7 linked regions of the Ovis aries genome follow. The protein of the gene in region 1 interacts with the protein of each later gene in a pairwise test. Links are inferred from orthologs where the notes say so. Each region holds a gene or a part of one and is shown in the gene's direction. Other genes may lie near its edges.

What was found.
Region 2: the proteins of TRIM39 (region 1) and UBTD2 interact in a two-hybrid assay, tested with the Homo sapiens proteins (2 studies listed by BioGRID and IntAct). The link is inferred for Ovis aries from reciprocal best matches to the Homo sapiens genes TRIM39 and UBTD2.
Region 3: the proteins of TRIM39 (region 1) and POLI interact in binary tests that used the Homo sapiens proteins (3 or more experiments, as listed by UniProt). The two-hybrid records come from large-scale screens. The link is inferred for Ovis aries from reciprocal best matches to the Homo sapiens genes TRIM39 and POLI.
Region 4: the proteins of TRIM39 (region 1) and MED18 interact in binary tests that used the Homo sapiens proteins (3 or more experiments, as listed by UniProt). The two-hybrid records come from large-scale screens. The link is inferred for Ovis aries from reciprocal best matches to the Homo sapiens genes TRIM39 and MED18.
Region 5: the proteins of TRIM39 (region 1) and CCNC interact in binary tests that used the Homo sapiens proteins (3 or more experiments, as listed by UniProt). The two-hybrid records come from large-scale screens. The link is inferred for Ovis aries from reciprocal best matches to the Homo sapiens genes TRIM39 and CCNC.
Region 6: the proteins of TRIM39 (region 1) and PRPF3 interact in binary tests that used the Homo sapiens proteins (3 or more experiments, as listed by UniProt). The two-hybrid records come from large-scale screens. The link is inferred for Ovis aries from reciprocal best matches to the Homo sapiens genes TRIM39 and PRPF3.
Region 7: the proteins of TRIM39 (region 1) and UBE2K interact in binary tests that used the Homo sapiens proteins (3 or more experiments, as listed by UniProt). The link is inferred for Ovis aries from reciprocal best matches to the Homo sapiens genes TRIM39 and UBE2K.

Annotation. Positions count from the first base shown.
Region 1 is NC_056073.1:27,574,546-27,578,122, reverse strand, and holds part of TRIM39 (E3 ubiquitin-protein ligase TRIM39), read left to right. Parts: intron 1-1,154; coding exon 1,155-1,385; intron 1,386-2,568; coding exon 2,569-2,591; intron 2,592-3,164; coding exon 3,165-3,280; intron 3,281-3,577.
Region 2 is NC_056069.1:4,221,199-4,225,301, reverse strand, and holds the start of UBTD2 (ubiquitin domain-containing protein 2), read left to right. Parts: upstream 1-1,280; 5' UTR 1,281-1,702; coding exon 1,703-1,772; intron 1,773-2,157; exon of another isoform or gene 2,158-2,279; intron 2,280-4,103.
Region 3 is NC_056076.1:54,026,632-54,030,777, forward strand, and holds the start of POLI (DNA polymerase iota), read left to right. Parts: upstream 1-1,280; 5' UTR 1,281-1,309; coding exon 1,310-1,463; intron 1,464-3,388; coding exon 3,389-3,511; intron 3,512-4,146. UniProt on the Homo sapiens protein: Error-prone DNA polymerase specifically involved in DNA repair. Plays an important role in translesion synthesis, where the normal high-fidelity DNA polymerases cannot proceed and DNA synthesis stalls. Favors Hoogsteen base-pairing in the active site.
Region 4 is NC_056055.1:238,799,935-238,803,564, reverse strand, and holds the end of MED18 (mediator of RNA polymerase II transcription subunit 18), read left to right. Parts: intron 1-1,048; coding exon 1,049-1,602; 3' UTR 1,603-3,057; downstream 3,058-3,630. UniProt on the Homo sapiens protein: Component of the Mediator complex, a coactivator involved in the regulated transcription of nearly all RNA polymerase II-dependent genes.
Region 5 is NC_056061.1:37,531,223-37,535,471, forward strand, and holds the start of CCNC (cyclin-C), read left to right. Parts: upstream 1-1,374; 5' UTR 1,375-1,502; coding exon 1,503-1,534; intron 1,535-4,249. UniProt on the Homo sapiens protein: Component of the Mediator complex, a coactivator involved in regulated gene transcription of nearly all RNA polymerase II-dependent genes.
Region 6 is NC_056054.1:100,392,468-100,396,569, forward strand, and holds the start of PRPF3 (U4/U6 small nuclear ribonucleoprotein Prp3), read left to right. Parts: upstream 1-1,291; 5' UTR 1,292-1,457; intron 1,458-2,154; 5' UTR 2,155-2,202; coding exon 2,203-2,211; intron 2,212-2,504; coding exon 2,505-2,596; intron 2,597-3,590; coding exon 3,591-3,781; intron 3,782-4,102. UniProt on the Homo sapiens protein: Plays a role in pre-mRNA splicing as component of the U4/U6-U5 tri-snRNP complex that is involved in spliceosome assembly, and as component of the precatalytic spliceosome (spliceosome B complex).
Region 7 is NC_056059.1:59,505,135-59,509,509, forward strand, and holds the start of UBE2K (ubiquitin-conjugating enzyme E2 K), read left to right. Parts: upstream 1-1,558; 5' UTR 1,559-1,747; coding exon 1,748-1,810; intron 1,811-2,796; exon of another isoform or gene 2,797-2,874; intron 2,875-4,375. UniProt on the Homo sapiens protein: Accepts ubiquitin from the E1 complex and catalyzes its covalent attachment to other proteins. In vitro, in the presence or in the absence of BRCA1-BARD1 E3 ubiquitin-protein ligase complex, catalyzes the synthesis of 'Lys-48'-linked polyubiquitin chains.

The DNA of each region.
Region 1 (3,577 bases):
GAAGAACTAAGCACAGGTTTGAAATTAGTGGAAATTAGTTTGTTTGTTTGTTTGTTTTTTTAACAATGACAACATTTCAATAGGAAGCAAGTATTATTACCTTAGTCCTTTATGCATTTTAAAAAGAAACATTTGAATTTTTAAAAAGTTGAACTAATTTTGATTGCAAAGGTAAACTTAAAAAAGTTATTGTCTTGAAACACTAAAAATCTGTGAAAATGAAGCTTATTCCTAATCATTAGCTTTCCTCTTCCTATTGATCACATTCTTAAGGATAAAGGACGGAGAAGGAAATAAAAAGTTTAAAAACCTGCTAAATGCTTGAATAGAACTGTGGTGTGGGTTTTTTTTTTTAATGTAAATTATCATTTCAGTGGTCTCAGAAACTGTCACCAATCACCAACTTTCCTTCAGTGACCTTTTGAATTATCTTTCCTCCCTCTCCCTCATCCCCACCTCCAGACCCAATGCCCCTTTTATTTTTTCACATCTATAACCCATTCCTGGGGTGTAAACTGTCAGTCTCTGAAGTGACTTGAAACTGTTTAGCAGGCTCAGCCCCAAAATCTAAATTTATATTTTATAACAGTCCATTACTAAAATCTTACTGATTCTGATATTTTTCCAGTTTTTCCATCTCTGGTTTTTATCAGGTAGATGTCTTGCAGTGTACAAATGATGACAATCTCTAACTTTCGAGTATCTGTGCTTTCCTTTTCTTCACAATTTGCGTTAGCTAGAACTTAGAGTAGGAAATAGCAGAGGTATCTCTGCTATCAGTACTTGTCCTATTATTACAGCCGTATCTCTGTAATACTACTTGTCATATTATTGAGTTCTTATGTCTTGAATTTTTTTTTTCTAAAACATAAAAGTATAGCTTTTTTAGAAGTTAATTTAGTAAATAAAATAATTTTTTCAGCATTGGTTTATTTTTTTATCTCAATGATCTTCATCCCAAGTTATCAGTAAGGGTGCTAATGGGGATGGAGCCATTCTTTACAGAAGGAAATATCAATGGAGAGCAACATGAGTGTCCTTTTAAACTCTCTCCAATGGCACTTGAAGTCTGAATTCATACACATGGTGCATGAGGAAAGGTATCCTATGCCCCACTGACCCTGTGAAACATAACACCCACCCTCTGTTCTCAGAGACTAGTGGAGAGTCGCCGACAGCAGATCCTAAAGGAATTTGAAGAGCTTCACCGGCGCCTGGATGAAGAGCAGCAGGTGTTACTTTCACGGCTGGAGGAAGAGGAACAGGACATTCTACAGCGCCTCCGAGAAAATGCTGCTCACCTTGGAGACAAGCGCCGGGACCTCGCCCACTTGGCTGCTGAGGTGGAGGGCAAGTGCTTACAGTCGGGCTTCGAGATGCTTAAGGTTCGACCTTTGCCCCTGCATAGCCACTCAGGCCGAGCGCAGTCTAGCTTTGCACAGGTCATTCTGTCAGCCTGCAATGCTCACTCCTCCACTCTGCCTCTCTAAATCCAGTTCTTTCTTCCAGACATGCTCAAAGGATCTTTCTCTACAGAAAGGCTTCTCTGATTTCTCACATCCCTTTTGATCACTTCTGTGTTCTTATGTCTTGTCAACAATTATGTGCTTAATTTGTACCAAAGAAAAAACTCAATTTTTTGAGAAGAGGGCAGTCTAGTCTAAATTAGTGAAAAATCTATGCATTAAAAATTGTGTAAAATGCAGTAACCGTTACTTTTAAGTCCTGGAACTTGACTTACCTAGTGCTCAAAAAGAATAGAAATATAGTGTGATGACACTTGAAATAATGTATAGTAACATGCTGCTTTTGATATGTAAATAGTGCCTCTAAAATGTTTGAAATAGTCTGTTTTCTTAAGCAAATGAATGGTGTTAGCAAGATTCCAGGAAACATATTTCTTATCTTAGAGATCACATTACCAGCATTTGAATCAGCGAGGCTTCGTTGTATATTTATCTGCATGTTATATATTGCTTGGTATTTATTCTCATGTCCTTTCATGTATGTGTGTTCTGCCTTCCACATTAAACTGGGAAATCCTTGGCGGGGCAGAGATTTGTCTTCTTTGTCTTCTGGACCCCAAGTATTCACAAATCAGGATTGGCACGCACTTATAAATATTTATTAACCAATACTAGACAAGGGATACCAAACCACAATGGGAGAGAGTGATTCATTCCTATGCCAGCAGTCTAGAACTATCTCTACTGATTCTCAAGGAGGCAGGTGTGTGGTTGGTACTTGGGGGACAGAGCAAAGAGCAGACACAATCCTATCCCTGGCATTGAGGTCCCGGTGTTCTTGAGGAACAAAGACAAACACACAGGAAACTATTTGGAAGTGACATCAGTTACCAAGTTTCATGATGACTGAGAGCTGAAGGTGGGGGTTAGGTTGGGAAAGATGTACTCAGATCCCTCTGGAGTTAGTCCCCTTTGCACTGTGACCCTTAGTTTGTCCTGTGCCTGTTTAATAGTTCTAGAACTTTGGGGAGGAGGGGAACCTTTTGCCTATAGGGCCCTTGACTACCAGGACCAATATTGCTTTCTTTTCTCCTTCCTCTAGGATGTCAAAAGTACCCTGGAAAAGTAAGTGATTCTTGTATCTCTTCGAGTGAGTTAGGTCTTGGCTTAAAGACTAGGGCTGCAATAGGGAGCTGGGGGAGTAAGAATGGGAAAGTCATGCAGTGTTTGGGTAGAAAAAGGGAGAAGGGTTTTTGCATCCATGAAGCCAATTACAGAACAAATGATTGGGAGTACTAGTCTGTTCCCCTTTACCCTTTGAGCATCAGGACTTCCTTGGTAGGGTAGATACCAGCATAATGTAATAGAACCAGATTCTGCCTGGGCCCGTGGGTGGAATCATGTCCAAACAAGATGGAAGGAGGAATGGGTTGGGGAGTAGGGGTGGTATCTCTTTGCATGAAATATAACAGTACCTCCAGAAAGTTCTAAAACTCATTCTTAAGGATTTGTCCAGGGGACCATCTCTCTTTCCATAGATAGGCAAAAGAAAGCAGTGAGTACTTGTCTTGAGAGAGGAGAAAGTACGAGGATGAATAATTTTAGTTTCTCCCTAAAGATGACAGCATCTGAATAGTGACTAAGCTGGAGCTTCCCCTGACCCTGCCCTTTCTTCCCCTATCTCCCCATCCCTCCTAGATGTGAGAAGGTGAAGACCATGGAGGTGACTTCAGTATCCATAGAGCTGGAAAAGAACTTCAGCAATTTCCCCCGACAGTACTTTGCACTAAGGAAAATCCTTAAACAGCTAATTGGTGAGTTGTTCCCAAAAGGAAACTAGCAAAGGAAATCAACAGAGAGACGGAAGTCTTTAGGTCCTACTTTATCTGGACTTCAGTTATCCCTGTTGTCACTTTTCATGCCTGTATCCACATCCACTCCTTTACCTGGCTTCTAATCTCACTCTGAGTCGCAGAACTCAAAGTGAGGAGCCTCAGGTGTCATCTGCTCTATAAATAGGGACCCAGAGAGGTTAAATAATTTGCCAAAAACTGGTCTCCTCTTAGTCCCACATTTTTCTAAATAGGGACCCAGAGAGGTTAAATAATTTG
Region 2 (4,103 bases), on another chromosome or scaffold:
GGACTGAAATCTTTGCCTCCATTTTGGACTGTTTCTGTGAGCTACATTCCCATCCTGAGTCAAAGGGTATGAACATTTTTAAGTCTCTTGATCTGCAATCCAAATTGCTTTGCAAAAAGACTGAACCAATTTACACTCCCACCAGCAGTGTATGAAAATATATTTAAATGCAAATTCCAAGCTGCATAGAGCCACTTTCCTAGGTATTTTACTTGAAAATTTTTCTTTAATGCTAAGCAAAAGCTGACCCAGGACGTTAAAAAAAGAAATCTGATTATAAAAATGGAGCAGATAGTTAAAACAGCTCTTAGGCAGAAGTAAGCTTTAGAAAGACCCAAGCCAGGTGATAAAAAATTTTAAGGCATCCTGGCGAGAAGCACAATTCTAAAGGGACCATTAACAGTTTGGCTTCAGACTGGGAGAGCAACGGCCAAGAATGTCGGGCGTGGTCAGTGTACCAAATTCTAGTTTAGAAAAAGCGGGGTATTTTACTTATTTATATTTAATTTTGTTCTAAGGACGATTTAGGGCCCTTAAAGGCAGGATCTTGAGAAGTAGCATTGTGTCTGAATAATCCTGTGAGAAGGAAACAAACCCACGCCCCCCTGAACTACGGTCCACGCTTCTCTCTCGCAGCCCCGGATGCCCTGCCTCTGTAATCTCAGTCCAGTTTGCAACCACAAAGACCCGCCTCTACGTCTAGTAATGGGGCACAGAGATTGCAGGGGGGCAGGGGGATGGGGCAGGCAAGAAGCCAGGACTTGGGATAGCAACCCACTGGACTCTACACAAATCCACAAGGTGCACTTCAATCTTCAGCCAGGAGCACCCCTCCGCCGGGTACGTGGGACCCCGCCCGCGAGCCTTCCATCACTACTCCTCCGTGCGCCACCCCCGCCCGCTCCCGACCCGCTTCTACCAGAAGGAGGGGACGCCGGAGGAGGAGTCAGAAACTCGATTTCTCCCCTTTCCACTTTTCCTATTCACTTTTACTCCGTCTGTCCTGCTCTCTCCCCCTCCATCGCTCTCTCTGCTCATTCCCGTCTCTCCCTCTCCCTCCTCCACGCCCGCTTTCTCGGCCTCTTCCCGGGGACGGAACCCCAGCCGCCTCGTTCCCTCGGGTTCGGGGGCCCCCTCCCGCCCGCCTCGCATCCCCTCCGCGCCTCCCCGCCTCCTGCCCCGCCCCTCCGCCCGCGGCCCCGCCCGCAGCCAATCAGCGCGCGGCCTCCCACGGCCCCGCCCCCCGGCCTTTCCGGGAGGGCCCCGCGGAGCCCAGGCCTAGATGCGGAGGGCGGCGCCGCGGGGCGGGGGCCGATGGGGTCTGGCGGCCGCGGGGCGCCGGCGCGGGGCTCGCCTGCACGCGGGAGCGCGGGGCTGTGAAGGCGTGAGGTGGGCGCCGCGGCCCGCCCGGGATGGGCCAGCCCCAGCCTGGCGGGGCCGAGCCGGAGGCGAGGGCGGCGCGCGGGCCAGGCCTGCTGGGCGGGCGGCCCGGGGACTGAGGTAGAAGTGGGCGCGGAGGAAGGGGCCGAGCCAAGGCGGTGGGTGGAGCGGAGAGGGGGGCGGAGGCTGGGCCGCGGCGAGCGAGCGGAGCGGAGCGCTGGTCCGGAGCTCGGCGGCGGCGGCGGCGGCGCCTGAGGAAGCGGAGGCGGCGGCGGGCCCGGACGAGCGCCCGGAGGTGGCGGACGAGGCGCCGGGGGCCCCCATGGGCGGGTGTGTGGGCGCCCAGCACGACTCCTCGGGCAGCCTCAACGAGAACTCGGAGGGCACCGGAGGTAGGTGAGCGCCAGGGGGCAGCCTCGGCCCCCCATTGTTCCCGGCCGGGCCTGGCCACCTGTCCCGGCCCCTGCGGGCCTCGCGGCCGGGGCCCCCGCGCCCCTTTGTCATCCCCTCTTCCACGTCACTCCCCGCGCTCCGCTTCCGGCCGGCCGCCGGGTCGCCCCCTTTTTTCCCTGACTCCCCCACCCCCGTCCCAGAAAAGCACTCCGCGCTCCAGGAAGGTAGCCCACGGCCTCTCGACCCCACCGCCTCGGCTGGGGAAACTCGACCAGAAACTGCCTCTGGCTCCCTCGCTCCCTCTCCAGCCCGTTTAATTATTCAGGAACAGGATGGCGGCGCTGGGGTTGCAGGAAAGCGAACTGATGGGGGGGGGGGGGGGGGGTGGGGGAGGGGAGCCTAATGCATTCCCTCCGACGGGCCCCGCCACATCTCTCCGAACCCGGCCTTGTTCAGCAGAGTTGGCTGGTCTCCGCTTTCCTGAGTTTCAGATGACAGCTGCCCTGGTTGGTTCCAATTTGGCCATTTAAACCTGCAAGTTTCTGGAACTCGGCTGGGGAAGTCTCAAGTGGCCACAGGCATTATTTTAACGAGGGGTGGGGAAATGGTCTGCCGGAGTAAAACGTGGCTTCTTGCTCCAGCCTGGGGTTATTGGGCCAGTGCACTGTCGGGGTGGGCTAGTCAAATTCCTATCCATCTTACGTAAAGGAAAATAATGTAGGATAAAAGTACAAATGCTGTTACCCCAGTAGGATCCGTACTTTAAAAGTTTCTGTGACACGGAACGCACTTGTACTTTATTGTAAATATGTTTGCTGAGGAGAGTTATTTTAATGCAATCAATGTTGTAGTATACGAGAAGAGTAATCCAGTTAATTCTACTTTTAGTTATATGATCTCTTGCTGGGCCCATTCTATACCTTGTGTAGAGGACAGAATGTTTTAGTTAAAGAAGAAACAGCTTTTAGGAATAGCAAAGATGACAGTGTTGGTTTTGTTCCAGCCTTATGTTAGATGTCACAGAAATGTGGGGTGTAAGTTCCTAAACTAAATCGTTTGGGTGGGTGGGTTTACAACTTTTTCTTAACATGCTAGCATTTGGACCAGTTGCTTGCCTGTCATTAAACTCCACATACACCTAACTTTTGACTTGTAAATGTCCTGATTACATGATGTTTAGCCATGCTACTTCATTAAAATGTATGGGCATCCTGTATGACTAAATCCTGGGCAAACTGAGAGCTCAGCAAAGCATCTTGAAAAAAAATTGCCCATGGAAAGCGGTACTTGGTAGTGCATTTCAAGTCATAGCATAATTACTCAGTGGCACGTTAACAATGAGATTTGCAGTAAAAACAAAGCAGGAAGATAAAAGGGGGCATGATTTAAAATAACCTTGGGTTAAGATCAAATTGAGGGTCAAAATCCTGTGGGTGAGGTGATCATTAATGGTACCGAACTATACAAGTAGTATTACTTTTTGCTAAGTATAGATGGTGTGCTTGTTATAGGTAGTTTAAGTTTTTTCACACTCATTTTAACATTCTAATTCAACATTTTTCTCTTGTTGGTAGTGCACTTGAACTAATTTATGGTTTTAAGGCCTTTTGGTGGTGTGACTTGTGACCAGCCAGACGTTATTAGCATGGGCTTTTAAAAGCAAGAAGTATTAGCTTTTGGTAGTTTATTATTATCAGTGGTACCTAGATAGATAGTTATAGTGTCAGCTTCTTTGAGAACTGAGTTCCCTGGATTTTAAGCTATGCTTTACCTTTTCAGAGTAAAGTTTAGAAAAACAGTCGTGAAACCTTGGTTATAATTTTGGAGAGAAGGCATGACCCTGATGTAACTGGGGTGAAGGAGTGAGCTGTGTGGGATAAAAGGATTATTTCTAGAATTTAATTTGTGGAGGCCTTTATTCTCCATTATTGTCATGAAAGTTAAAGAGTTAATTGTGGTTTAAAGGAATTAGCCCAGGTGAGTGTTTCAGGTTAACTTGTTAAATAGTTACTAGCTTATTATAGTAGATTTTTGTTTGGGAGGGAGAGACTTTTTCCTAAGGGTGTTGGCATAGATCCTTCACTTTTCAGATATACAGTAGTGGTTTTAATCTGGACATATTGGGCTATGAAAAAATTTTTTTCAGCATGGAGTAAAACAGTTTCCCAATGTTTTTCATGACAGATTTAAGATTTTCATGACAGATTTAATTACATCCACAGTGTTGTGCAAACATCATCATTTTAGGATGGCTTCACTTTCTGAATATCAGCAGACTTAGTAAAATGACTTAAAAAATTTTTTTGGCCATTTGAGGTACTGTACTTTCC
Region 3 (4,146 bases), on another chromosome or scaffold:
GCAACTTCACTTTCACTTTTCACTTTCATGCATTGGAGAAGGAAATGGCAACCCACTCCAGTGTTCTTGCCTGGAGAATCCCAGGGACGGGGGAGCCTGGTGGGCTGCCGTCTATGGGGTCACACAGAGTCGGACACAACTGAAGTGACTTAGCAGCAGCAGCAGCTGGGAAATATGGAAGGCAGGAGGAGATGGGGACAAGAGAAGATGAGATGGTTGGATGGCATCACTGACTTTATGGACATGAGTTTGAGCAAGCTCCAGGAGTGGTGAAGGACAGGGAAGCCTGGTGTGCTGCAGTCCATGGGGTGGCAAAAAGTGGGATTCAACTGACCAAGCTGAACTGAACTGAGTGCTGCCTGCCCATGCACACAAGACCTAAGAGATGTGGGTTTGATCCCTGGGTTGGGAAGATCCCCTGGAGAAGGAACTGGCAAACACTCCAATATTCTTGTCTGAGAATCACATGGATAGAGGAGCCTGGCCAGCTACAGTTCATAGGGTGGCAAAGAGTCAGCTGGCTGAAGGGACTTAGCACACAGACACACAGACAATTACCAATGTTGCGATAGTTTTAGGTGAACAGTGAAGGGACTCAGCCACACCTATACACATGTTCTCTCCCAAACTCTCCTCCCATCCAGGCTGCCACTTAACAGTGAGCAGAGTTCCCTGTGTTATACTGTAGGTCCTCGTTAAGTTTTCCACTTTAAATACAGCAGTGTCACAGTATCTTTGAGTCAAACAACAAAACGCAATTTTAACATACTAGCTAATCGTATTAGTTGGAGAAGGAAATGGCAACCCATTCCAGTATTCTTGCCCGGAGAATCCCATGGACAGAGGAGCCTGGTGGGCTACAGTCCATGGGATTGCGAAGAGTCGGACACGATTGAGCAACTAACACAATCAGTTTACAAGGTCGCCTGGCTCTCACCATAATTTCCATCGATTCCCCCACCCCCATCACCATAAAATTTCAGCATCTCCGGGTTAGCATTTCTAACAGTTGACCGGGAGAACAAGCTGCCTTCTACATAAAAATAAACATTTAAAACTTGTGATAAGAACGTAACTCCGAAGACCGCATGCGGGGGCTGGGAAGAGCTGTTTGGGATGGTAAACCCTCCTTCAAGGCTACGCTGGAGAGAAGTCCCAGAGGCAAGTCAGGAGGATTTGCAGCCCTTGCGACCATCAAGGTAGCCCGCGGCTAAGCGCACACTGCGCAGGTGCGAGCCCCGCTGCTCCCCGCGGAGCGCGGGCGGCCGCGGCCGGAAGCTGCCTTTCGGTGGGCGGTCGCCGCGGGGGAATGGAGAAGCGGGGGGTGGAGCCCCAGGAGGCAGGCGGCGGCGACGACGACGAGGAAGCGGACTCGACTCGGGCCATGGAGCGGGCGGAGGCGGGGGCGCCCGGCGGCTGGCCCGGGGCGCTGGAGCCTGACGAGCCCGACGACCTCCCTTGGTGTAAATGAGCAGGCGGGGCGGGGCGACGAGGGCGGGCGCCCCGGGCGGCGGCGGCGGCGGCCGTTGGAGAGCGACCGTCCCCTCCCCGCCCGCGTCCTGGCGTGTTCCCGGCTCCGCCGAGAGGGCGGCCCTTCGCCGCTTGGTGTTCTGAGGCCACGGTCCCCGAGAGGGGCGGCTTCGCCCAGAAGGGGAAGGCCGGGCGCGTCCAGTGGGGTGATGGAGGCTGCGCTCGTCTCCCCTCAAACAGCCCCGCGAAAGCGGAAGGGGCCTCGGGGGCCTCAGGGCTGCGGAAGCGGGAACCTTGTCGCTCACTTGGTAGCGGTTGCGGCCCGGCCTCAGCCCGGAAGGGACCGCCCGGCTCGGAACCGAACCCGGCCGGGTCTGCAAGTGGCCGCCTCTCTGCTGATCCGCTTCCAGCCTCGGGGCCCAACCCCCGGGGTTTGGGGCCAAGGCTCTCTCTCCTTCCCAGTCTCCCAGCCCTTCGTTTTTAAAAAGCTTTAAAAATATTAAATACTTGCAGATTTACAGAGAGATGCACAGATAACTTTTACCGACTTTAATGGCTTACGTCACCGTGATACATTTGTCAAAAGAAAGTAACGTTGGCATAGTAATTGATACTCTTAACAGAAGGACAAGCTTTATTCAGATTTTACCAGGGTTTTTTTTTTTTTCCATTTAATTTGTTTCTGTTCCAAACTCCAAACCAGGATACCACATGGCATTTTAGCCTGCCTTGTTTTTAACTGCTGTTAATAGCTGAAATCTCCTGTCTTATCCCTCTGACCCCTCCACCAAGATGTGAACTACTTTTTAAAATCCAGGAAATATTTACTCAGTCTTTAAATTTAGCAAGTATTTGTTGGTAGTCTGCTGCTACTGCTAAGTCACGTCAGTCGTGTCCGACTCTGTGCGACCCCATAGACGGCAGCCCACCAGGCTCCCTCCGTCCCTGGGATTCTCCAGGCAAGAACACTGGAGTGGGTTGCCATATCCTTCTCCAAAGCATGGAAGTGAAAAGTGAAAGTGAAGTTGCTCAGTCGTGTCCGACTCAGCGACCCCACGGACTGAAGCCTACCAGGCTCCTCCATCCATGAGATTTTTCAGGCAAGAGTACTGGAGTGGGTTGCCATTGGTAGTCTAGGTATCGGCTATTCAGCATTGAACCAAATAATCCTGATCTCTTGGGAGCTAAATATAGTCCACTGGGACCCATAGATTCTGCCTTCTGTTTTGTGTTTCAGGCTGTTTTTTTAAGGACATGCCACTTAGAATAATTTTTTGTTGTTGTTTAGTCGCTAAGTCATGTCTGACTCTTCTGTGATTGCATGGAATGGACTGTAGCCCACCAGGCTCCTCTGTGCATGGAATTCTCCAGTCAAGAATGCTGGAGCTGGTTGCCATTTCCTCCTCCAGGGGATCTTTCCCACCTGGGGTTTGATCCCATGTCTCCTGCTGCTGCTGCTAAGTCACTTCAGTTTCCTGCGTTGGCAGGTTAAATCTTACAAGGAGCCACCAGGGAAGGATAATTTTTAAGTTGGTTGGAAGATTTGTGTTTACAAACTTTTCAGCCCTTTCCAACTTACTTTAAGTTTTCCTATAAACTTCAAAGTCCTAGGATTACCTCTTGCGTCTTCCATTATTGATAAAAGGTTTTTTTCCCTTAAAATTTATTACTATCCTGAGAAAAATGCAATACACCAAGAAATAGTAAACAGGCCTGAGGACTCTCTTGTAGGTGGAGTTTCTTTCATATCCTTGTAAGTTTTAGATTCTTTGAGACATGTAATAAATCCAGGGGAAAAAAACTTAAAAATCACTCTATATTCTTTGTTGGTTGCCATGTTTTAAGGGACTGGCAGTTGCTCAGAGGTGATAAACAGGCTGAATGTGTTTTTTTCATTTGGTTGCATATTGTGCCACAGTTCATGATGAGCTGGAACCAGCAGGAAGTTCTTCATGTAGAGTCATAGTACACGTGGATCTGGATTGCTTTTATGCACAAGTAGAAATGATCTCCAATCCAGAACTAAAGGACAAACCTTTAGGTAATTCTGGACTTTGATACTATTTTCATTGTATGATATGATTTGTTATTTATTCTGATTTATTAAGCATATTAATGTTGGCAGCAGTTCTCTGATGCTTTATGGACAGTAATCTTTATTTCACTACTGGATGTAAACTTCATGAGCCTCATTTACTAAATGGCAAATGTGAGAGAAGCAGTGTAATTAACCAAATAAACAGGAAGACCACAATAAACTTCTGGTCTTTTTCTCAATGTTTGAAATTTTACAGCCATTTTATCTCAAGAATAACCTTTTAAAAAAATTTTAATAGGCATTTTCAACTATTCTACTTTTGAAATTAACTATTGAATTGTGTAACAAAATAGTTGGATTTTGTGTGACAAAACAACTGGATTTTGAACAACCCAAAATATTAAGGCATGCATAGTACAAGCTTTTCATGAAAACATAAGTATGTTTTAAAATAAAAGGCAAAGAAATTTTACATTGGGGAATTACCGAGTATTGTGTTTTGGCTTATTTTATTTTTACATTGGAAAAGTAAATTTCTAAAATTTTATGCATGTAGTAAGGATTTATCTTTGAGTAAAAGCATGCTGGGAAGGATTGCAGGCAGGAGGAGAGGGGATCGGCAGGATGAGATGGCTGGA
Region 4 (3,630 bases), on another chromosome or scaffold:
AAGAGGTCTCCTCTTCTCCACCCATACTGGTTGCTCTCTATTCAACACCCCGTTTATCTCTTGTTTATTGGTTTACTTATTTTTTTCATTTCCCCCACTAAACTATAATCTCTGGGCAGGCCAGGCCCCCTACTTCTTAGCATGGTGCCATTCAGTAAGTGTAAGTGTATGAACCAGCACTTAACAAAGCTCCTTAAATGTTTGAAGAATGAAAAAACACATGGCTGACACTGTTCTGAATGTAGGACCTACTCCCTACTCTTGTGATCTTCTGTCCTTTGATAACTGGGACCCACTCTGTTGCTTTTCCAAAAATTTAGTCATTTGAATACCACTGCCAATATTTACTGTAGTTATAGTAGTATATTTTTATTTACTTTAACAGATTTAGTCAATAAAGGAATATGTTTCTCACATTGGAGTATCAGCAGTAGAGAAAGAAAAATTATTAAAAAGTCAATACACTGATATGTTAAAAGATGACTAAAGAGTTGAGGTGATAAGCTAAAGAAAAATAAAGCGGGAAAGTGAAAAGAGATTGCAGGGAAATACACTATTCTGTTGGAGAAGAAAATGGCCACCCACTCTAGTATTGCCTGCAAAATCCCATGGACAGAGGAACCTGGCAGGCTACAGTCCATGAGGTTGCAGAGTCAGACACGACTGAGCAACTAACACACACACATGCTGTTTTATTTAGTATTTTTTGTCTTATATAAAATAATATATATTATTTTATAATAGAATGGAATAAAATAATTATTCTAGGTAGATACTGTTGCCTGTTAAACCCCAAAGTCTGCTAGAGGTTAGCATTACTAAACAAGGCCTAACTTCTAGTACCAAATAAAACAGTACAAAAAATTGAAAAGAGATTAACATAATATCTTGGCAGTGTAACCTCCTACAATCTCATATATTGGGCCTATGGTTTACAAAACACTGCACTAAATTATTTTGGTTTTTCATTTAAGTTTTTTCAGTCTCTTGCTAATTCCATTACCCAAAATGAAAGATGGAACTCAATAGTGCTTTTTTCCTTCTTCAGGAAGTGTTTTAGATCACAGCTTGGAAAGCCTCATCCACCGCCTTCGTGGTTTATGTGACAACATGGAACCCGAGACTTTTGTTGACCACGAGATGGTATTCCTCCTTAAGGGCCAGCAGGCCAGTCCATTTGTTCTAAGGGCCCGACGCTCTCTGGATAGGGCAGGGGCACCCTGGCATCTTCGCTACCTGGGACAGCCAGAGATGGGAGACAAGAACCGCCATGCCCTGGTGCGTAACTGCGTAGACATTGCAACATCTGAGAACCTCACTGACTTCCTCATGGAAATGGGCTTTCGCATGGACCACGAGTTTGTTGCCAGGGGACACTTGTTCCGGAAAGGCATCATGAAGATCGTGGTATACAAGATCTTCCGCATCCTGGTGCCAGGGAACACAGACAACACTGAGGCCTTGTCACTGTCCTATCTCGTGGAACTAAGCGTTGTTGCACCAGCTGGGCAGGACATGGTCTCTGATGACATGAGGAACTTTGCAGAGCAGCTGAAACCTCTGGTTCACCTCGAGAAAATAGACCCCAAAAGGCTCATGTGACTAAGACAATCTGTCCACTGGGGCTTGCCCTCAGCTGTTACAAGAAAAGATGTTATAATTGCCCCATTTCACCACTGCCAGCCATGCATTCTTCCCTCAGGATGGAAGCCAGTGAGAACTCAGTTGTTTTTGCACTGATTTCCTCATATGGCCAGTTCACTTTTGTGACAGGCTTTCTATCTTATTTTTTTTTTTTTTTTTCTATCTTAAATGCTAAGAATAACGTGGAGAATCTAGATCATCCTTCTGCAGGAAGAAGGGAAATTGGACTAAAGTAGCTTTCGGGAAGAAAACTTTTTATGTATAAGGTTTGTAAAATAGAGACCAAGTTTGTATTGTGCAGTAATAAAAGCGTAAGGAGAAATGTCTCCCATTCTGATTCTTTACCGTACTACCCTACTAATTTGGGATGGACTCATCACCAACTGGAGCAAATATATGACAGTGTTTTGTTTAAATTTGGTAGATGATAGATAGCTTTTACCTTTTGTACGGGTAGCACGTGTTTGTTGTGGAAAAAAATTAAATACAGACACAAATAAGGAAGATAATGTATAATCCTGTTATTTAAAGAGATGTGCTGGGTTTTGTGTGTTTTTTGGTGTGCCTCATGCATGGCATGCAGGAACTTAGTTCCCAAACCAGGGCTCAAACCCACGCCCCCTGTAGTAGAAGTTTCCTAACCACTGGACCACCAGGGACGTCCTGAGATGTACAGTTTCTATTCTGTTTTATATCCTTCTAGGCTTTATTTTTAGAAATGTATATATATGAGGTATATTTTAGAAAAATATTGTGTATGTACTGGCTTATAATCATTTTTTAAAATCAGTAACATTTTTCTAGGATATTAGGCTACAGTGTTCCTCTGCTTAAAAAAAAAGTTTCTATTGAGTTCTTATTATGTGTCAGTGTTATCCTAAGTGCTTTAGGTATGTTTATTAACTTAACCCTCACAACGACCCGTATTTTGCAGGGAAACTGAGGTGCAAAAAGAGTAATTAGCTTTCCCTGAGCAATTCAGCTACAAATGAGCAGAGCTTGTATTTAAATGTTGATAATTGTAATCATTATTTGTATCCTATCATTAGGATTTTCCAAAACGTAACTGTTTCCTCTACTTTGGGATTTTTAGTTAGATCCCATGTTTTTGCTTTTATAAACTATCCGGTGTCGCTAGTACTTTTAATTAGATATTTTTTGTCATGTGTGATCATTCTTCAGGATAAATTCTAGGGAACTGCTGGGTCAGAGAGTATGCACTGTTTTAAGTCTTCTGCCATGTATTGCCAAATGCCTTCCAGAAATGTTTCAATTTTCACTCCTACCAGTTGTAAATGAGGTTCCAACACAGCTGCCAAAACTGGGTGTGACCACGATAACACATTTTTCCCGTTTGATGTGAAGTGGTGACTGGTTTTAATTAAAAAAAAAAAAAAAACCACGATCAGTGAGACTTAAATTTTTGTGTTTATTGGACATTTTTTCCTTACATGAATTTCCTTTTCTTCATTGTTCATCTTTATTTGTGAAGAGCTTTTATATAATTTTCCATTTATCACTTGACTTAATGAATTTTTTAAAACAGTTCTAAGTGAGATAAATGTGGGTTATTTTAATCCCTGTAGAGTTTTTAATACACTGGAGACAGTTTGGCTTGCTAAAAATTGTAGGTCACTCAAACTTTTCATTTTCTTCTGGAACCTTCCACTTAGATAACACCCCAGTTGACCAACATTTGACAAATCATAATTCTCGTTGGACCTCAGTTTACCACTTGAAAGATTATATGAATACTCAAGAAAACCTATCCAAAGTTGACTTAAATGGTAAGGATGATATTACCTGATTTAAGGGTAAAATCAAGAATAGGATAACTTCCAAGTTGGTTAGGTGGTTATTTCTCAGGTGCAAGGAGATCCAACCAGTCCATTCTAAAGGAGATCAGCCCTGGGATTTCTTTGGAAGGAATGATGCTAAAGCTGAAACTCCAGTACTTTGGCCACCTCATGGGAAGAGTTGACTCAT
Region 5 (4,249 bases), on another chromosome or scaffold:
GAAACCTATATGCAGGTCAGGAAGCAACAGCTAGAATTGGACATGGAACAACAGACTGGTTCCAAATAGGGAAAGGAGTACGTCAAGGCTGTATATTGTCACCTTGCTTATTTAACTTATATGCAGAGTACATCATGAGAAACGCTGGGCTGGAAGAAGCATAAGCTGGAATCAAGATTGCCAGGAGAAATATCAATAACCTCAGATATACAGATGACATCACCCTTATGGCAGAAAGTGAAGAGGAACTAAAAAGCCTCTTGATGAAAGTGAAAGAGAAGAGCGAAAAAGTTGGCTTAAAGCTCAACATTCAGAAAACGAAGATCATGGCATCTGGTCCCATCACTTCATGGGAAATAGATGGGGAAACAGTGGAAACTAGTTTTTGGTTCAAGCCAATTCAATTAAACCTACATTTATGGGGTCCCTCAAAGATGATTTACCTTTGAACTAATGAAGCCTAAGCTGATGCTCCTGACTTGCAGGGCCACTGAGAAAACTGAGGGATGCTGGGCATTTAGACGCTGGAGTTCTGGGTAGGAAGCAGAAACCAGGTTGTACACAGGAAGTATTTCTATGTGGCATTCTGGTAAACTGCCTGAAAGTTCACAGAAGGAAGGGACCTGAATCTCCTAGCTTCTAGTAATTTGTCGTAATCTCTTTTTGCATTGTTTCGCAGTCACTTCAATCCAAAAGAACTCCATTAAGAACCTATTCGGCTTGTTAGGTTTTGAGGCCAAGTGAAAGTGTCAAAGTCGCTCAGTCGTGTCCGACTGTTTGCGATCCCATGGATTATACAGTCCATAGAATTCTCCAGGCCAGAATACTGGAGTGGGTAGCCTTTCCCTTCTCCAGGGGATCTTCCAAACACAGGGATCGAACCCAGGTCTCCCGCATTGCGGCTGGATCCGTTACCAGCTGAGCCACAAGGGAAGCCCTTTGAAGCCAAAATTAACTTTATTTCTCTTTCCAAACACAGGAGAAAGAACAGAAGTCAGGAAGTCGTATAGTTTAATACAAAGCCACTGTGCTGCTTTGGAAGCCTGTAAGATGGGAGTAAAGTTAACCCGAACAAGGGACGGTTTCCCCATCCCACCCCTTCTCCGTGAATCCTAGCTCCCACAGACGCACGAGCCGCGCGGGCTCTAGGCCGGAAATGACGAAAACCTCTCGCGATACTCTCCCAACTGCCGCGAGACTTCGTGAGAGTCAGTTCCCGACTCCTTTTTCAGTGTGCGCAAGGGCTATCTCCTCCCCGCCTCTTTCCTCCGCTACCGCGGGGCGGGCCGGAACTTCCATGCGTAGGAACTGGTTTGTACAGCAGAGTGTTGCCGGCCGGCGTCAAGAAGAATAGGGTGCTATCTTCCTCTCACCGTCGCCGCCGCGGAGCGGAGCCGAGTCCATCAGATCAAGGAGCGCGGTGACCGGGAGGGTTGGGTCTATGGTCGCTCCGCGCTCCGCTCCGCCGGCTGGTGCTTTTTTATCAGGCCAAGCTGTGTTCCATGGCAGGGAACTTTTGGCAGAGCTCCCACTAGTAAGTGATCTTCCGTTTTCTCCGGGCCTGGCTCTTGGAGGTGCTGGGTGTACGGGGCCTGCGACTCCTTTTGGCCTGGATCTCGGCCCCTGTCCGGAGCGCCGCGGAGGCTCCAGGGAGGCGGCGGCCGGAGGCGGGATGTGCTTTTTCTTCGGCGACTCTCCTCACCGCGCCCCGTTGGCCGGGTTTTGGAGTGGTAGAGAATTTCTTGGCGGGGGAGGGTAAGAGGGATTGCGTCTCCGGAGGAGGAAGGTTCGAGAGTTTTAGCTTCTGATTTTTGGTTTAGCTAGGCCGAGGTTGGGGGCAGGGGAGAGGCGGGGCTGGCGAGGGTTGGGATATGGGATGGACACAGGTATGGGAAGTGTGACAGTTCAGAACTGTGAGGCTGGCTTCTCAGGACAGTTGTGGTTCGATCTCGCCTGATATTTGTAAAGTAGGTTGGCATCAGTAATCGTTTATCATTCTTCTGTGTTGAGTGGATTGTTACTCCAAGGAAAGGAGGGAGTCAGGCTTGTTTCTGCTCATGAACCGCATTCTGCCACTGTCTTTAAGCCTATATGGTTTTTATGTTTGTAAGTTATAGATCAATTGCTCTCAACATTTGTCCATTTCGTTAGTCTGTGTCTCATGTTTTGTTTTAAAAGTGTATTTTCTAGAGACTTTACCAATATCTTTAACGTGTTTTCCAGAATAAGTTTTTGTTGACGTCTGTACCGTGGAAGAACTAGAGTAATATTGAAAGCATTTCTCCCTAAATACATTTGTGTAAGCAGATAGGACGATGGTGATGGGACTAATTGAACTTTGGGTAGGCTGTACAGTGTATAGTTGAAAGACACAGAACTTGATGATACCTTAGTGTAAATACTTTTTCATGCGAAGAGAGCATAAGTAAATTTTGAGTGTGAGGATGGATTCCTATATTATTCAATTGGTATTTTAGCCGTTTGCACTAGAAAAAACGAAACAATGGGCTTTAAAACCTATTTTCAGAAAAGCAGGTTTTCTTGCTGTAAGTGGTTCTGTGGAGATGAATGGCTATAGAAGCTTTACTTCCGATCATATTTAATTTGCACTGTATTCACTGACTGAAATATTTGCTTGGGCAAAATTAAAATATGGAAAATTTCTGTAGTGAAGTAGTAGTATTCTGGTTAACTTTGAAAGAAGCTGAAAAAATTGACAGGGAGCCAGTTGTTGATTATCAGAAGTTACAGGCCTTTTTCAACTTAAAAAAAAGAAGTTTGACCCTTTGATAAGTCTTCTCATTATGCTTTCATTTACTGTTGGCTTATTAAAAAGGGGCCAGGATGTATTTTATAAAATCAATTATTTTTTCACTTTTCAAATATAAAATTAAATGTGCTGTTTTTAAAACTGTCCTTGCCTTCCTAATCAAATAGTCCTGGAGGAAGGGGCCACTTTATCTTACTCAGATCCCTTGGGAATCATGGAGTCCCTGATCTGCAAAAGGTAACAAATATGAAAGACAAGACAAGCAATTCAGGAAAAACAAAAAGATGATGAAAGCCATTGTTTTAGGTGATTTTGGTGAAAGAGGAAGATTGATATGATTTTTCATGGCTTAAAATCGCCCTTTAACATTAACTGCTGCTAGCAGCAGTTAAAAAATGGATAACATTGCTGTTATCAGCATGGCAGTTTTTGTTTCCTTCAGTAACATAGGAAATAATGGTGAATCTTACAATCATGTGTAATTTTAAATTTGAGAATATGTGGCGTTAACTGGTTTGTCTTCCATGCTGTGTGCTGTGAAGAAAAACAGTTGTTTGTGGAATTTATCTTTTTAAATATTTGAAATAACTGTGGAGAAGAAATGGATGATTTTGAAACAGAGACACTGGTAGTATTTTTCAGGAAGTTAAGTAGAACACAATACATTCTTTGACCATGATGCAGTAAAACTAGAAGGACACTAGACATTTGCTGGTTGACTGAAATAATGAACAGGTGACAAAAACTAAAACTACAAAACCAACTCTGGATGCTTTACTGTAGCAAAGAGAGCATTTAAAATACACTTACATATTATCTAGGAAATAGTATAATGAGATTAATATGTATTCATATCTTTGGGATGTGGCCAAAGCCAAATTTATAAGAAAGTTAACATCTTGAATAACTGAAAAAGAATAAAAATTATATATTTTACTTCAGAATATTAAAAAGGAAACAGTGAAATAAACCTAAGAAAAACAGGCATAATAAAGGTAACACTGATACTGAAAAGGAAAAAAACCGTCAAATTATAAGAGCTGCCTCTTTGGAAGGGAAAACCAAAACAGTAGACTAAACTATGCTACTGAATATAGGGGAAAAGGAATGGTCAGTTCAGTCCCTCAGTCGTGTCTGACTCTTTGTGACCCCATGGACTGTAGCGCTGCTAGGGTTCTCTGTCCATAACCAACTCCTGGAGCTTGCTCAAACTCATGTCCATCCAGTCGGTGATGTAGGAATACAAAATTAGGTAGGAGAAAAGTAAGTAATCACAGATGTACCTTTGGGTTATCTTCATTTTCAAAGTAAATTTTAAAGCCAGAACAAAGTTATCAGAGAGCTACTTCTTTAAAAATTGCTCCAGGCCCACATTATTTCATAGGTAAATTTTTACCCACTTTCAAGACCATCTGCCATTAAAGTTGTTCCAATTCACATGAAAAGTTTTCTGGTTCTCTTGAGGCCATGGTAACACAG
Region 6 (4,102 bases), on another chromosome or scaffold:
TTCGTAGTGATGCTTTCTAAGGCCCACTTGACTTCACATTCTAGTATGTCTGGCTCTAGGTGAGTGATCACAGCATCGTGATTATCTGGGTCATGAAGGTTTTTTAACTATGATTACTCCATTATAATTTCAATTTTTCATCACCTGTAAAAATATAGTGGCCATTAAGTGAGATGAGGGAGACTCTGTTGGGAGCTGGTTTGGGGTGGATGGTGGAGGTTAGAATCAAGAGTTTAGACTTCGTCATGTAAGTTTAGGACCTCTACATGTATAGTTATATACCAAGCAGCTTTACTGAACTCTCTGAGAAGTAGTGTCACTCTGTGGTCTTCACAGCAACCCTATGAGGTGGATTTTTTTTTTTTTTCTTTTACAGGTGAGGAAACAGCTTAAGGAACTTGCCTAATGTCACAGCTAATGAGTGGGAGAGCTGGAATATAAATACAGACGGCTTTAAAACTCATGCTCTTGCTTAAATCATTAGGTAATACTGAATCTCAGTGGATGCATGACATATAGTAATGGATAGTCATTATTTGTTCTGAGAAAGAATGGAAGGGGGAAAAAAAAAACACTAAAAGGGGGGAGGGGCTACCATCTTCAGAATCCTATACTCGCTTTTCCTGAGTGATCTCTGACACCACTGTTAAGTTAGGGACAAAAGCTAAGGAGGGGATGCTAGGGATCACAACTCTCGGAGGGTTTACTTTGTTTTAGAAAGTCCAGGTTTAGCCCCAAAGCAGAAGCCCTGCTTTTAGTTCTAGCATAACCGTAGTGCACTTATTCGCCACACTAGGAATACTACCCGTGAAAGTGCAGGTGCTCAGTCGTGTCCGACTCTTTGCGATCCCATGGCTGCAGCCTATCAGGCTCTTCCATCCATGGAATTTTCCAGGCAAGAGTATTGGAGTGGGTTGTCATTTCCTTCTCCAGGGGATGTTCCCCATCCAGGGATCAAACCCAGGTCTCCTGCATTGCAGGCAGACGCTTTACCGTCTGAGCTACCAGGGAAGCCTGGAAGGAATACTACAGGCAGCCCAATTTATGCTTCAGGTAACACTAACGTTTGCACACCTTTACCTGGGGAAACCAATGAGGCGAGGAACTAGCAAATGTTAAACTTTAGGGCTCCGCTACGCATGCGCTCCCTCTTTGGGGGGAAAGTAGCCACTACGGCTGCGCGAACCGGCGGCCCCACCCTCCCTCGTCACGCGTTGTGGGACCGCGGCGTGGCGGCGGCCTTGGCGGTAGAGACGGCAGGCCAGAGGGCGGCCAGAGGGTTTCCGGTTCCGGTGTAACGTTCGGGCTCCGTCTCAGGGGCTGAAGTTTGTGAGGTGAGTAGTGGCCCGGGGCCCGGAGAGGGTGTCCTGTTGTCCTAGTGATTGGGGTAGGGTTCAGTTCGAGAGAAGGACAGAGACGGGAAGGTTCAGCGGAAAGGAAGCTGAGAAAAGAACAAGGTTCTGTGGGAGAACGGGTTGGAATGAGGTTGTTGAGAGGGAAAGGGCGGGGGCGGGAAAGGGACGAGCTGAGGGGACTAGCCCTGAGATGAGGAGTTGGGGTAGAACAGGTGAGTAGGGGGCTGGTTAGAGAGACGGAAAGAGCAAAAAAGAAACGAATGGGAGTTTCAGGGATGAAATTCGACTTGTAGCAAAGAACACAGAGAAAGGAAATCCTTCAGAAGATTAAATTCTGTTCCCTGCTCATTCAAAGATCATTCTGCCTTCCTCTCCTTCCACACCAGAACCACACCCCACCCCTACCCCACGCAGTTACTGTTGAACAATTGATTAGTGACAAAGCTCATTACTGTTTGGAACTTTTATTTTGCCTATTGGCTGTTTAGTTTGCACGTTATCTTATGGAGAAATGGGTTGAAGTTATGTACATTTGTTAGTATAGTGCTTGGGCACACCTTTCATCTAATAGAGTGATGCCCCATTTGTAACTCTGGATTTTCAAATTGTTTACCCTTTCTAGCCTATGATTCAGTTCCAGTGGAACATAAGTTCTGTTAAGGCAAGAATTCCTGTCTTGTTCACCGTTGTGTGTATCCTCAGCACTCAGTAGGCTGCCTGAAACTTACTAGGTTTGCAGTAAATATCTATTGAATGAATTAAGTGCCTTATAAGAATGACAGTTGTCCTCATTTTGTAGGATGAGTGAACTGAGGCTCAGAGGAATTACTTGTCAGAAGGCTGGTAAATGTTAGAGGTGCGTGTGAGCTCTTCACTCTATGGTGTCTGAATGTGCTTCTTTTGAGCAATGCACAGTTAACATGTTGAGATTGATAGGCTATCCTGCTATCTCCTGATGGGTAAATAGAGCCACTGCAGATTTATTCATATTACATGTCACTGAGGCACAAAATACTACACCCCTAGTTTCATGACTTTAAGCTACTAGTTTCATATGGTTATACCAAAATTACATACAGTATTTAGCAATAGGTCTTCTGGAGGATAAACCTGCCAACAATTAGAAGTTAATCAAGCTGTACCTTTTAGGGAAAAGATGTCTTAAAACATCTTGAAAAATTGACACCCAGATCGAACCCTGATGTGTGGCACTTCTGGGAGGAGGTTAACTTGGAATTGAGGTCAGTCTAATTTATTGTCTTTTAGACAATATGGAGAAAATTATAGAAATAAAATTTTCTTTCTGCTCATGTAGAGTTTTGAGATTTCAGTAGGAGATAAGACTGTAAACATGAATAAAGTTTAAGAATTGTACCAATTTGCATTAAATAACAGATTGTTGTAGAGTCTTGTATGATGGTTACTCTATTAAGCTAAAAAGTAGACGAATAAAGGTGAAAAGAGTACATCCAAAATGAGGGTAATCTTTTTTTAAATTAATTTTTATTGGAGTATAGTTGCTTTACAGTGTTGTGTTAGTTCCTACTGTACAGCAGAATGAATCAGCCATACATATACATATATCCCCTCCCTTTTGGACTTCCTTCCCATTCAGGTCACCACAGTGCATGAGGGTAACCTTTTCTGAACTGAGGGATTATTTATGACGGAGACCCTGTAGAACAAAAGAAAAGGATCTGGGTACAGAATTCCCACTGGGATCACAATGAATACAGAGAAATGTGACAGAACAGTCTTGAGGATTAGGAGCTTTAATGTAAGATGTAACCCAGATAAGCCATCTCTTATTTGTGTCCCTTAAAAGAAGCCCTGGGTTAAGGAATGCCTGCCTGGAAGTAGGAAGAATAGAAACGTTGGCCTGTGAGTGGGCTTTTTCAGTCTTGTTTTCATGTTATATGTTTGACAGTCCTTGTTGAATATGATAATCAGAAAAGAAGCTGGAACTCATTTCTCAGACTAGGTTCTTCCCAAGGGTTGTTTGTTTATTCCACAGATTTCATTGATTAGCTGATGATATTACTGAGTTAGGGTTAAAAAACAGAATGTAGTTCTTTCTGTTTTGAAGTATAAGTTGAGAGTATTTGGCTTGAAATGAAGTTAGAGGAACTTGCCCAGGATTGAGAATAGCAGTGGGGAAAGCATTCCTGATATATTAATCATTGCCTGGGGTCCTTTTAGTCTTTTCCTGTCTTCTAACTACTGATTTCTTTTTAGGTGCAGTATTGAATCCTGTTTTGAGCTATCCTCCTTTTCCCAAACAATGGCGCTGTCCAAGAGGGAGCTGGATGAACTGAAACCATGGATAGAGAAGACAGTGAAGAGGGTGCTGGGCTTCTCAGAGCCCACAGTGGTCACGGCGGCCCTGAACTGTGTGGGGAAGGGCATGGACAAGAAGAAAGCAGCCGGTACGTGGGCGCTTCCTGACTCTTTTGGGCTAACATGTTAGATGACTGCAAATGCTGCCTTGAACTTCCCCAAAATTCTCTATGTTAGGAGCATCTGAAAAAAGGTCAGGCCACATTTTATTTTCTCTTGCATTATAATTGTTGTTGTTCAGTCTCCAAGTTGTGTCCGACTCTTCATAACCGCATGGACTATAGCACACCAGGCTTCCCTGTCCCTCACCATCTCCTGGAGTTTACCCAAGTTGATGTCCATTGTATTGGTGATGCCATCCAACCATCTCATCCTCTGTTGGCATCTTCTCCTTCTGCCTTCAATCTTTC
Region 7 (4,375 bases), on another chromosome or scaffold:
CTGGCACAAATACACATAGCATTGCAACACTTATACATTATACCATTTTATTGTGCCATGGCCCACATGTATAGTTGGTTCGCCTTAGGACCACTAGGGGGCTCTGCTGGAAGGGTTTTTATAGTTCTTCCGTTTAGGGGAATGTTTCCAGATGCTTTAGAATTCTAAACTCTTAAAACTTGGAGGAGATCATCTCATCCAGCTTCCTTATCTTGCAGAAGAGGAAACCAAGGTTGAAGAGAGAGAGCTGGTATGGAAGGGGGCTGGAATTTAAAATCCCCTCTTGGTTCCTGCGGCAGTTCAAGAAATTCTTTTCTTGCCATGTGCCTCCACTGAATGACTCATACCCAGGGGCTTATTTTTTTTTACTGCCACAATTTTGGTAATTTTTGCTAAGACGGTGTATTCGTGATATTTTCCTAACAGGATGCTTTACTGATTAGTTAGGTGAAAGAAATGCATGAAATATAAACTTCTAAATAAATATTTATTACAAAATGTTTTCTACTCAAAGCATCCCTTAGTATCAAAACCATATTACTGGAAGCCCTAAACCACTTTTCAATTGCCTTTCAAATTTACTTCTCACTTAAAACATTTACTCTTTACTCATTTATTCATTCAATATTCATTGAGTGCCTACTAGCACTAGCCACTGTTACTCTAGGCTTACAGAAGTAAAGCTGCCCTTCCCCCCCAAGAGGGATAGGTTTCTCCAGTTTTCCCTATATATTCAGTTACTGAACATATCTTAGTTCAGTGGTTTTCATACTGTGGTCTCTGAACCAGCAGCACCTGGGAACTTGCTAAAAATGCAAATTAGGCCCACCTTACACTCTTTTGTTTTTTCTTAAGCTCTCCAGGGATCCTGATGTACATTCAAGTTTTAAAGCTATGGTTTTAGTTCCACGGCTTGTTATTATCTAAGTAGGCCAAAGATCAACATCTGGCTTCTAAACTCATCTCAGGCATCTCCACTGAGACCCGGTCTCAATTACAACTGAGATACAACAATGACCATACTTAATTTAATGATTTGTTGTACCTGGAAAGATCCTGGGATGACTGCAGTAATAGAACTGTAACGGCTGCAGGACAAAAACGAACCGCAGTGGCTTTTCAGAACCAACAGAAAATGGGCCAGACCGAGTTCCCGGACAGTGTTTTCCGACACTAGACACAGCCGGATACATTAAGCCCGTGGTCTGGCTGAGTCAGGGCGGCGCTCCAAGCTTAGAGGGGCCGCGTGAACCCGTCAGGTTGGACTCGAACCTTCGGCTAGAGGCGAAGGTCTGGAAGCCTCCACCGTACCACCTACGTTCATACAGGGGCGGAGGCGCCGGAGACGACCCGTGAGGCCCGGGAAGCCCTGGCCCGCGCGGAAGCCGCACCCTCCTGGCTCCAGACGCCGACAGGGCGGAGCCACGCGGCCGCAGCTCAGGCAGAGACGCGCCGCACAGCGCGGCGCAGGTTCGCGGCTAAGGCGTATGGGGCTACAACGGGAGCGGCTGCGCCGCCGGGCCGGGTCAGCGTCGTGCGCATGCGCGGACCCGGCGCCATTTTGGTGGCCGGGCGCGGAGGTGATTCCACACTGAAGATAGTGCGGCGGCCGGGGTGGCAGTGGCAGCGTTCGTGTGCTCGGGTGTGAATCGCCGGGGGAGGAGGCGGTGGAGGAAGAGGTGGCGGCGGTGGCGGTGGTCGTAGCGGTGGCGGAGGAGGCGGGTACGAATCAGCTGCGGGCGGAGACATGGCCAACATCGCGGTGCAGCGAATCAAGCGGGAGTTCAAGGAGGTGCTGAAGAGCGAGGAGGTCAGAAATGAACTCCCGGACGTCCCCCACATCAGCCCAGGGCGGGAGGGCCCTTCCGGTGGCAATCCCAATATCCCTGGTAACCCCCGGTTGGCCTTCTTTGCGGCCGCCCTTCTGCCTGTGGGGAAGCAGCAGTCTCCCCCCTCCTTCCGCCGCCTTCCCCTCCCCTCCCCGGGCCCTGGGATGGACGGTCTCGCGGGCGGGGGGTCTGGGGAGGAATAAGGTTTAAGGGGCAGATGGAGAAAGGGCGCTTATCGTCGGGTGTGAGCTCTAGAGAGCGCCCCACGGCAGTGGCAACAGCTGGAAGTGTGGCTGTAGGGTGGGGAGGTAGCAGGCCGAGCCTGAGAAAACCCGGGAAGTGGGTTGGGGGAAGGGGAAAGGTGGTAACTGGATCCGGAGAGCCGCGTCGCTCAAAGGCCCACACTTTTCAGGGTATTCTGGGTTATGGCCGGTCTGGCTGCCACCCTCCTTTCCTTACCGAAGGAGTGATTGATGAGAGAAGGATGTTCGGAGTTAACTCCCTCTCGGTTGGGTGTTGGGAGAAAAGAGAAGACATAATGGGGTACTAGCTTATTTGAGTGGGCGATAAGGGAATTTTCACCAGAGATAGAAAATTAATTCCGTATTAGACTATTATCTCATTTCCACTTACTCCGACATTCTAGGCGTCTTTTTCGATTGACATCTGAAGCTTTTTGACTAGGTAAAGGCACGTTCGGTATATTAAATACGTTTAAATATTTTTAGCTAAGATAAGGAAAAAATAGTGGAGTGTATGAGTAGCTTATTTCAAAATACTGTTTACAAGTTATAGATGAGAGAGTCTGTCCTAAGACAATGCCTCTGTGACACTGTTGTGTTGTGCCATTTGTGCCATGAAACTTCATTATGATGTCCCCATAGTTAGTTCTTACTTTTGAAAAAGTGTCCTACTTAAAAACATGAGATTTCGGATTAATACATTGTTATGTTTCTTTATTAAGTAGGTTTATTCCAACATATATCTGAAATGATGAAAAATTTTTGTCTCAAGCTACTACTCTTCAGTCCTGTAGAAATTTTAGGTACGCTGATATTGGCCACATTTGTTAATATATTTTAAATGTTTCGGTAATTTGACTCAAAATTATGAAAGTATAGTACATTTTTCACACCCATAATCAACAGGAATGCTAGTTTGTTTTTCCTCCTTGGACTCAACAAAGATTAAAAATACTGAATGGTTATTTTCAAGATGTCAAATATCGTTATCGAATATATTATTGCTATTTGTGCTTTTCTCTTATTTGTGAAATTCAGCATTCTAAGTATGTGATGAGTTATTGACAAGTCTGATAGCAAGCACTTGAACTTTATTTGTGCCACTGAATCTGAAGTGATTTTGTGTCTTTACAGATAGACGTGGAGAAGATTCTTTAAAATTATTTAAAAATGCCAAATCCTAGCAGATTTATTGAATATAATAGTATATAAGTAATGATTGGTTTTACAGAGCATGTGTATAAACTCTGACCTCTGTATTTGTTCAAGTGCCAAAACTCTGAATGGAAGGATGACTTTGTGTTTTTGTGGTACAGTGCAGAAAAAGAATCATAAATACCTGCACTGTGATATATAGTGAGACAGTGATTCTAAATTTTTCTTTAGTAAGAAAAGATTTTCCAGGATACTTGACATATATCTTCCTAATGAAAGTTTGCAGCTAGTATTATTGCCAGTAGCCTAGAACATTTCTTCTGTAGTACGGTTGTACAAGCCTGAAACTTAGTATAAGACTTTAATGCTTTATTTTCTATTACTTAAAAGTATAAGTAATTCGTATAGTCTCTGCATTATGTGAAGTGACTTTTCACCATGATATTCTTACTACTTGAAGTTTAAAAGAAATCTTGTATTGCTCTAGTAATGCATATTGTTAAAATAATACAGCTTTTTATATATGAGCAATGAATGATGAAACCTTGTTTCAAGTAAGTGATGTAGTGTTTCAGAGGAAGAAAACAAAATCCAAACAGGAAAATTATTTTTTTAAGAACAGTGTCTGTATAAATCTGGAATGAAACTTCTTCCAGAAAGAACATTTAGGAAATGTAATTCAACTAATTACAGATAATTTAATATTGGAATTTATAACCAATAAATAGCTTTATTTTCACCAATATATTTTATTTCATTGATACTTAAGTCCAATTCTATAGGTGTATTATGTTGATTATTTTCAGTACGTTGAAGTACAGTCCACATGTTTCCTTTTTATGTATGTAAATGCAGTATTTGAGTGGCTGGTATAATTAAGTATTTCCTCATGTCATCTATGTAAATCTTCATTTTACCAAAGTTTATTTCATATTTTTGTGTTTACTAAGAATCTTGATTGATTTTAAGGATTTCCCCTCCCCCTTTTAAGTGTCTTTGTAAAGATAGCTTACATCTGGCGGTAAGAAGTTGTAAATGGCCACTGTTGGAGTGTGTTGTTAATTAAAATACAGCCTCAAGATAAATTAAATGTGGAAAGTACAGGATAGAATCAGTGAGAAGAGGCCACCATTAGTGTCAGAAGTAGGG